Linked DNA regions of Schizosaccharomyces pombe. The gene in region 1 interacts genetically with each later gene. Each region holds a gene or a part of one and is shown in the gene's direction. Other genes may lie near its edges.

Evidence for each region.
Region 2: of nak1 (region 1) and sog2, changing one enhances a phenotype caused by changing the other (phenotypic enhancement), as found in Schizosaccharomyces pombe (one study listed by BioGRID).

What each region holds. Positions count from the first base shown.
Region 1 is NC_003423.3:2,481,268-2,486,019, reverse strand, and holds nak1 (PAK-like kinase Nak1), read left to right. Parts: upstream 1-1,594; 5' UTR 1,595-1,699; coding exon 1,700-1,779; exon of another isoform or gene 1,780-1,830; coding exon 1,831-2,317; intron 2,318-2,382; coding exon 2,383-3,774; 3' UTR 3,775-3,953; downstream 3,954-4,752. Other genes in the region: SPOM_SPBC12C2.01C (uncharacterized protein), read right to left, coding at 4,133-4,752.
Region 2 is NC_003423.3:3,552,172-3,557,516, reverse strand, and holds sog2 (leucine-rich repeat protein Sog2), read left to right. Parts: upstream 1-1,860; 5' UTR 1,861-2,034; coding exon 2,035-4,695; 3' UTR 4,696-4,837; downstream 4,838-5,345. Other genes in the region: response regulator Mcs4, read right to left, coding at 1-243; SPOM_SPBC887.08 (uncharacterized protein), read right to left, coding at 4,967-5,215, 5,274-5,345.

The sequences.
Region 1 (4,752 bases):
CCCTCCCCTTGGTTGTTGGTATACTGTTTTTATTGATAAATAAAAGTACCATGTCTCTCTGTACATACAACTACGATTTTCGATATACAGGAATGTTTAGATAATTAATCTTTTAAGAGAAATTCTTTTAGTAATGCAAATTTCTATGATTGTATAATATGCTTGAAACTGTGATTTGTCTGGGGTTTTCTTTTTTGTTATATTTTTATTATGTACAACGACTCTTGTTCACCCAGGTCGAAGAGCTAAGGGTCGCTCATTTCTATATTTCTTTCAAGTTTCCTTTTTTTGCTTAATACATTATCATTTGATTGTTGCGATTGATTGTTACAATCGATCGCTCGCACCGATAATCTCAATTAAGCTCAGCGTGTTGACTTACTTTATCTAACCTTTAAAATAGGTCATCGCTACAAAAATTAGTAAACGAAAGAATAAAGAAAATACAAATCCTTCAATTGATTTCTCGTTTTACTCCCTTTTTACTCGGCAATGTAATAATAAATTAATAATATACATTACATTATTTTTATTTACTACACTTTTAAAATAGCGATGTGGGTATTGGACGCATCAAATCAATTCATTGAATTGAAAGTCTGTAAATACCGGGATTTGTCATCCCATCAAACAAAACTAAGCTGCCCTCAAGAAATTGTACAAAAATTTAAAATTTCTTTGACTAGCTCCTATTATGCGATTGTTTCGTCGAATATTTTATATGATCGGTTCGAAACGATAGCCATGCAAGATGAGCAGCAACAGTAATGCTCGTTAAATTAACTAAAAAGCAACTTATTACAAACCAATTGGTAATTTCATAAAAAAAATGAAATGGTTTGGAGAACAGTGTACAAGCTAATGGATAGCATACTAAACGTAACACACCAGACAACCATGCATACTCGGATTTACATAATCAACTTAGTATCTTTATCTTAAGATACAAATTAGTATTTTACGCAAATTCTCAAAAATCGACCGAGTAAATAAGTAATGTCATCTCATTTTATTATTTACTACGAAAATCAGCATATTTGTAAGGTGAGAAGCTTTCAGCTCTTAAGCTTAGATAGTGGAAATTTTGCAATCCGTAAAATGTAGATTGTGAGAAGGATCTTATATGATTGTATGCATTATGTAAAGTTGGTTTACGAATATGGGCTTTAAATATCCTTGGATATAAACAAGACATTGGGTACTACTATAACTGTATAAATTGTTTACAATTTGAACTGAGGAACAAAAATTCGGTCGATTTATTTTAAAGGATTTTAGTCTTAAAGATAATTACTCTCAAAGAACGGATATATATCCGCTGCGGAACGGAAATATAAATAACTACAGATTATATACTGATTAACGACATAGCGTAGTAGAAAAATACAGATAAGATATCGTTAGTTTTACGTTACGCTAAACTCGATAAGATATTCTCATTTCTCCTGCTAAATTTGCTGTATTTTTCCTCGCAAAGCTTCGGTATTGAAAAAAAATAGTATAATAAGTTGTTTGTTATTTAGGGATTGCACAAATTGAGTATTATAGTAAACAGTTTTTCAATATATATCTACTCAATTCCTTCGTACCCGCTACCACCAGCAGTATAGAAAAAGTGAAAGGGAATTGAAGGAGTTTGAATTGAACCTGTTCAATTAAAATTCTTCATGTATCTGCTAAGCAGCTAAAGTTATTAGAAATGGAAAATAACACTGCTTCTTCGCCGTACACAAAATTAGAATTGGTGGGACGCGGTTCGTACGGCGCAGTCTATAGAGGGTATGAATATTATTCGAGTGATTCTTTTCTACATTTTCTAACATTCTAAAGAATTTGCAATTTAACGAAAGAGACTGTTGCCATCAAGATTCTTAATTTGGATACCGATGAGGATGAAGTCTCTGATATTCAGAAAGAAGTCGCTGTTCTTAGTGAATTGAAACAGTCCGATGTCGAAAACATTATAAAGTATCATGGCTCTTATTTGGTAGGTACTAATTTATGGATTATAATGGATTATTGTCATGGAGGTAGCGTGCGTACTTTGATGGAGGCTGGTCCCATTAGTGAACCATGCATATCTTTGATCCTTAGAGAGACCTTACAGGCATTAAAATTTATTCATCATGCAGGTATCATCCATCGTGATATAAAAGCTGCCAACATCCTAGTTTCCATGTCTGGAAATGTCAAGCTATGTGACTTTGGCGTTGCTGCCGAACTAAACATCAATCGCCGAAAGCGAATCACGTTTATTGGAACGCCTTATTGGATGGCACCAGAAGTTATTCGAGATGGTCAGGAATATAATGTTATGGTATGTTTCGTTGCTGATTACTTATAGCCCTTTACCTATTCCACAAAATTATTAACAAAGTTTAGGCTGACATTTGGTCGCTCGGAATCACTGCATATGAAATTGCTACTGGATCTCCACCTCATGCCAAAGAGGATCCTTTTCGTGCCGTTTACCTAATCGCTCACACCGCACCCCCTAGACTCAATGGAAATTTTAGTGCTCTTTTAAAAGAATTCATTGCCTCTTGTTTGCAGGATGTCCCTCAGAGGAGATTAGATTCTTCCGAACTTTTGAAATCAAAATTTATCAAACAATATTCTCGCATGTCTATTTCTGAACTTACCAATGTTGTAAAACGCTATGACACTTGGCAGGCTGCTGGCGGCATACCCCAAACGCTACTCTTGGGTGAAGAAGCCGATGATGGAAGCGACCCTGATCAGGAAACCTCCGACACCGCTGCTTCTGATGATGGTTGGGAATTTGGCACTATTAAACAAGGTCAAAGTAACGTTTCATCCATCACTGGCACTTCCACCTCCACTACTACCGCTGCTACTTCCTCCACTACTGTAACTGGAACTGTAATTCCAAAATCTTCCACAGTGCATGAACCCCCTTCATCTAATGATTCCCATCCGTTATTACAACTTTTTAAGGATTCAAAGATTTCGGATGATGATTCTCCCAGTAACGCTGAAGGAGCTTCTACTGAGGATTCCAAAGGTGAAGTATCTTATTCTCAAATCGAATTACCTAGCTTAGATTCCTCAAATCTATCCTCCAAAAAATCAACCATTCAATCGAAACACACTAAGCAAGCTGAAGATTACGATTTGTTTGTAGGTCGCACACGCTCAAATTCCAAAACCTCATCGGATCAAAGTATCAAACGACCCCTGCCTCGAGTTGTGCAACGTCAAAAAACTTCTCTTGGAAAACGAGGAATATCCATGTCACCAATGAAGCCGGGTCTTCGTATGCCATCCTCATTCGACCTCCAATCTAGAAGTATATCGATGGGCGCATTTGAACAACTATCTACACCATTAGAAGCGCCAGCGCATAAACATTCGGCAGTGCTACAGCCATTAGAGGTTAATAGGTCAATTAGTATACCTCCTCCGAAATCGATTTCTCCCTCTATTTTGCATAAACCTAGTCTTGAATCCGCTAGTTCTACTCCTAAAATTTCCTCCTGTTCGTCCACTCCTAAGCCATTTAATTCGAAATTAAGAGCTCATTTACCCCCTTTATCCATTGGCTCACCGGCCGTTCAACCATTAGCAAATGATAATTACGATTCTCTGGGGGTTCGAGGTCTAAATATGGAATTATTTAATGATTATCCAGGTAATATGCACAATATAAAGTCTGTATTGAGCTTAGAAATAGACATCGTTTTGGGAGAAATGGACGCTTGTCTAAAGAGCTTGGAATGTAATCTTTTAAACAGAAAAGCATATAATGAATAACTGTTTATGATGCTTTTAGTCCTTTCATAATATAATCTTTAATTTATTTAATGTTTTAACTTCTCTTTTTTTGCTAATATATTCGTTCATCTTTTATGAAAATCTAAATTGTTGAGATAATGATGCCAAATACAGAACATTTAAATTAAAATAGTGCCCACGGTTAAGGAATAGAGTCGTAAATTTATTGTCGTGATAATAACTAAAGAACAAGATGAGGGATAATTTAATTTATATGAGTTACAATTTGAACGAAAATTACAATGATTTAATTTACCTTACTAAATACCCAAACAGTAGAAATCTTAATATTGTATTTAAATAACCATCCAAATGAACCATTTTTATTACCAAAGCATCAACCCGTCGAGGAAAACTTTAACTTGCTACAAATCGAGTGTAGTCTATCGTAAAACCGTAACTTTTGTTCTGTATTCACAAAATTTATTGCCTGTATCATCGCATATTCCTGCATAGTTTCAGTCCCATGAAGAAGTAAAACCATCAATAACTTTTCGGAGGGAAAATGTTGGGAAAAGCAGAGCGATAGGAAAATCTTTTGAGCTGTTTCAAATTTTCGTTTTCGTAAGAACCACTCTAAAAGAGTTGTTTTCAATTCATAAGAAGCAGGAAGAGCCAATAACTCCATATGTTTTAATAAATAAAAACTAGTCCTAAGCCTATTTTTTTGAAGTAGAAAGTAACGAATAGTTAAAGTGAACATCCTCGATCTAAGAAAAGGATCATACTTCCTTCCAAAAAAAATCAGACGAACACAATTTTCCTTCATCTCTGCTGACACATTTGGCGCGTTTATAAGATCGTGTAAAAAAGCATTAAGTTTAGAAGAGCTATTGAGATGAAGTAAGCGTATTCTGTCTTTTAGATCATTTGTGTCTTTAACATTTTGAAGCTCATTTAGTAGCTTTAAATGTGATTCTCGATATTGTGAAAATCGAGACTTAAAATCTGAAAAAT
Region 2 (5,345 bases), 1.1 Mb from region 1:
ATAATAAGTTTCCATGACAAATAATATGCTTTCGTTGGGACTGAGTTCTCTAGATTGCAACTCCGATGATGCATTTGGTGGAGCTACTACACGAATCGAAAGCTCAGGTGCATCATAATACTGACTGATACGAATAGGGAATTTCCGAGCGATGGCATCTTTTAAATCGTCAACCAGATGATCTTCAGACAATATAACGGAGGAAGTAATCCCATCTGGAACTTTTTTAAACCAAATGCGCATCTTCTATATATCTTCTTTCTTTTGACTTAACCTCAACTTTCCTATATACAGTATGAACAACCAAAACAGCCGCCTGTTTTTACGTTTAACATTCGATAGCTTCTTGTATAATCCCCTTCTATTTTAAATTTAATAGAAATATACAAGTATAAAATCACTGTTCGTGATAAGGAATGAGTAAGGTATGGTTCACGATACAATACGGCAAGCCTACTTAAGGTGTTGAGTTTCGTTACCTAGTCGTGCAACAAGCGCTGGGGATTTAGTAGAGTACTTAGAGTAACACCTTCCATCTGAGGACAAAAATCGAATAAATTTTAACACGTGAAAATAATAGGCACAGCTAAAACTGCGATTGTAAATTATACATTCTACGATACGAGCAAATAAGTATTCGTTTAAAAGGGATACTGTTGTGTTATTGACTTACTATTAGAATTCGACATTACTAAAATTTAACTAATTGAGTAATTGTTTCTGAAATTTATTCCTTATTTTAGATTTTATTTAAAGTATGTAGTTTAAAAAAAAAAAAAATTAAACGTTATACCCATACTTAGTTGGCTACCATTAATGGTCCTATTACTACTTGTCAGGTTTGGATATTTAATGACTCAGATTAAATGATTTAATCAACACAAACCAATATTTTTGAAATTCAAAAATAATGAGGCTTCAATTTCTCAATGAGAAACCAAAAAAAATTATTTTAGATAGTAACCCATTTAGTCATAGAAAAAAAAACCGTGTTTGATTATATGTACAATTTATCAACTCATTTATTTTTATCAGGTTCTTAAATCATAATGATAAACCTAGGCGATTCTATTAGGAAGCAATATATTAAGGACTAATAAAATAAACAATAAATATTAATGATTAGGAAATCAAACGCACCAAGATAATCAAATTGATAAACAAACTATAGATAAATGACAGAAATATTGAATCAACAAAATTGCAACTCATTCAAAAAGTTATCAATTTACACTTAAAGAATTATTTACCACAAAACATACTGTAGCGTTAGCATTTGTTGCTCCTGTTAATAACGACTTCTGATCTCGATGAACTCAAAAAGTTCGAACCAACATAATATAGCGAGTGCTTTTGATCATTCAAGAATTAGAAATGAATGCTAACAATACTACATTACAATTACGAATTACTATATGTCACATGTTCTGATTACCTATCGTCTTACAAATGATAACAATACGATGTAGATCCACTAATAAATTTTTTAATTTATTAGCTAGAAATGATAGATGTAAAATCAAAGGAACAACGTTCTTTAGTTCAGCTGTGGTGGTTTGTTTAGAGATAAATTACATTACCGCCTTCATACAAGGATATCCGTAACCCCCGTTATCATACAACCATATGTACCGCTATGTAGTGCACATACGAAAATCAAGTAGTCTAACATATCATTAATGATAATTACGAACTGCATAGCTAAAAAAAATAAAACGCAATATCAAACTTAACGAAAATATTTTGTGTAAACGTTAATAAACTGTAATTATTTTAAGGAAAAGTGCTTATTCACGTTGTTAAAATAAAAAAGTACAACCTACAGATGCGTACACAGAAAGAAGTGAGTTTATTCGTTCCGCGAACTAGCTTGGCAGTAAATTTTGGGGAATTGACTTTTGTACATTATAGCATACCATTGTGGATCAATTTTATGTTCATTGCATTTTTTTAGTAATTATTACTTCTTAGAGTTCCTTTTTTTTTCAACAAAACCTTCGGATTTACGTCTGAGGTGATCGATCTTTTCATGCTATGTCTGCTCATGAGGTGTCCTCCACAAAAAACTCAGAAATTGAAAGAATTATTAAAGAGGCAGAAGATGCGGGTCCTGAAAATGCACTTACGTTAGATCTATCTCATCTAAACTTGCGGGAATTACCTTATGAACAATTGGAAAGAATCCAGGGTCGGATAGCGAGACTAGCGCTAGGCCATAACTTTATAAAGAGTATTGGTCCTGAAATCCTAAAGTTTACTCGTCTCCGGTACCTAAATATTAGATCGAATGTCCTTAGAGAGTTTCCCGAATCTTTGTGTCGACTTGAGTCACTTGAAATTTTAGACATTTCTCGCAATAAAATCAAGCAACTGCCAGAATCCTTTGGAGCTTTAATGAACCTTAAAGTTCTTTCAATTTCTAAAAATCGTCTTTTTGAGCTTCCCACCTACATTGCACATATGCCGAATCTTGAAATTCTTAAAATTGAAAACAATCACATTGTGTTTCCTCCTCCGCATATCGCTAATAATGACTTGCAAGATTCTGATATGCAGTTGTTTATTGCCAATATAAAGGGATATTTGTCGCGAAACGAATCAGTCTTTAGAACGCGAAGTGAAAGTACTGTTTCCGCTGCTTTATCCGCTTCAGCTAATCTTAGTCACTCGGAAGAAAATGACTCCTCTGTGGTTGATTCTTACTTATTTAGTGCCCCATCAGATACTAGCCATGCGGTTTCACCTGGCATGCTGACGTTTGTCACGCCAAGTCCCCATTCACATTCTCCTGCCGGGCATCAACAGTCCACACCCAAATCGACTTTGTCAAAGACAAATGAGAACTCAGAAGGAACATTGTATGATTCAAATGTTGCTCATGGATGCACTCATCCTCCATCACTTAATCAATTAAACAAATTTCATCTAGATGCGTCGCCTAGACAAGCCCGTCCTCGTAGGTCAGTTTCTTTAGCTACTGGCCTCAATTCTCCTTCTGTTTCAAAACCACCTTCTTCTGCTACAGGACCATTGTACCATTCACCCCAAAGCTCACTCACCAATTCCTCCGTCGCTAGTGCAGACGTTCAAGAACGTACTCACAATACTAACGGCGCTAGCCCCATTCAAGACCAAATTTCAGAATTCACTGATCAACATCAAAATCCCTCAAATAATGATGCTGCTTCCACACAATCGATTCTAAAAACAGCTCCAACGCAGTTGAGTGCGAGTGCTAAAACATCAGCCATAAGTTTACCTGAGGTTGCCAAGAAAGAGCGTAATAGAAGCAATAGTACAAATGATGATTACTCTTCTACTAGACTTCCATCGAGTGTTTTACATCGTCTTGAAGCCCTTAAAGAAGCGCGCAAACTTTCTGAGCAATTACCAAATCGAATTTTTGCTCAAGATCCTCATCCTTCCCCTCGTTTGAAAAAAGAAGAAACGCATGAAAATGGCTCCAATTTGACAAATGACTCGGTCAACAGCTACTTCAGTAACATTGGAGGGAGTGAGGTTGAAATGAAGCACTCGGCCTTTGAAAAAACTTTAGAGTCGTCTAGGGGCATATTGTTTTCGCTTTCGCAAGTCCAACAAGCCCTTCGTCAGCAACTTCTTTTTTGCAGCAACCCCGTTGTTTTAGATTCTATGCGTCATGTGTTACATACTGCCAATGTTCAAATTAAGCGGCTAATTCTGTGCTTTGAGGATACCCAACAAAGCAATGATGGAACTGCAAACATTAATTCCATAGTAAACGCTTCATTGTCTTGTATCAGCTCGTTTCGTAAACTAATTGAAGTGACAAAAAAATTTTTAAATGAGCTCACTAGTCGTGCGGATGTCCGATATGTTCGGCTTTTACTGCTAATTCTTTTCGATGCTGCAAAGGAGTTACAAAACGCCTTGGTACCATTGAGTCCATCACAACCCCATAGTGGTAATAACATATTCGCCGATCAGGTACGTCAATCTCCGACAAGTATGATCCGGACTGCATCTGGGCTTACGAACAGAATCGTTAGCGTTGAAAAACCAGCATCAGTGATGAATCCTGAAATTGATAAACAAATACAAGATCAGGTCGCTTTAGCAACAAACAGTGCAATGTCAGTTTTGACATTACTAATTGATGCTGTTCCTAAAAATAACCAGCCTGATCTAGTAAATGAAAACATCGCACCCAATTTGATTAGTAAGTTACGTGAATTGGGATCATTATCCGCCGCCGCCTGTGATGTTACTAGAAAACTTAAGCATCGCCTTCTAACTTTTCAAACGAATCCGGAAGAATTGGAATGGCAGCTTTTTTTGGACGACACTCAAGCATTTGTCAAGTCTATTATTGCAGTCGCAAATTTAGCGAAAGCGTTATCCAGTGAATATACATTCCAAAAAAGCGTATTAGCTGGTCTTTCAGCTGCAACAAGATCTACAAAAGATCTTACTATCTTACTTTCTTCCTCTGCTCGACATTACACTGAGTCATCTTTAGCCACTCCTGTTCCTTTGATGTCCCCAATAGCCCGCGTACCTGCAACACCGTTGTCAGCGGCTCTGGGTTCGGCTGCTCAATCTATTACATCTCCTCTAATCATGTCACCAGCTGCAATTCCGGCGTCAGCCTATAGTACTAATAAAATCGATTACTTTACTGACGCGGATGGGAACGTGGAAGGTTTACAGCGCTAAAGAATTTTTTAATGAAGATTGATGAGGAATAATTGGTAACTCGATAACTCAAAAGCCTACAAAGACTATAAATTTAATGATACAAAAAATGATGCACGATTGAATTTGATTAATTTATTTCTTATTCAAATAACAAAACCAAGGACAAATTGTAAAGGATGATGGTACAAGTAGTGATTAATCTGTTTCCACATGAAAATCATGTACAAAAATTAGACAGAGTGTGTAGTTTTGGGTAGGTACTCTTTGACAAGACAAAAATTTTTTCTAATTAATTGCTTTGCTTATTTTCAAGTTTCATTTCGCATCTTCTGATGATGTCTTCAATTTCATTGATTTCGCCTGAACTCAGTCTGTGGTACTCAATGCTGGAACTATCAGTTGGAACATCAAGTGCTTGAAATGCAAACTTTTTAGCTAAGGAATAGTTTCCCAGATAATATTGTTCTTCCGCTGCAAATTTTGATTGCTCTAAAATATAGGCTTCTTCACCGAGGACGACGCCATTTTTACTAAGATGCTGAATAATCTGTTAAAATCATAGACAATAAATTGGGAGTAAAAAATGAGTAACATACACCAAAACATTGAACTCTTGGAGTCCATCCATCAGTTTCAATGCTTACTTTCTGTTTTAATCGCTTATTCCG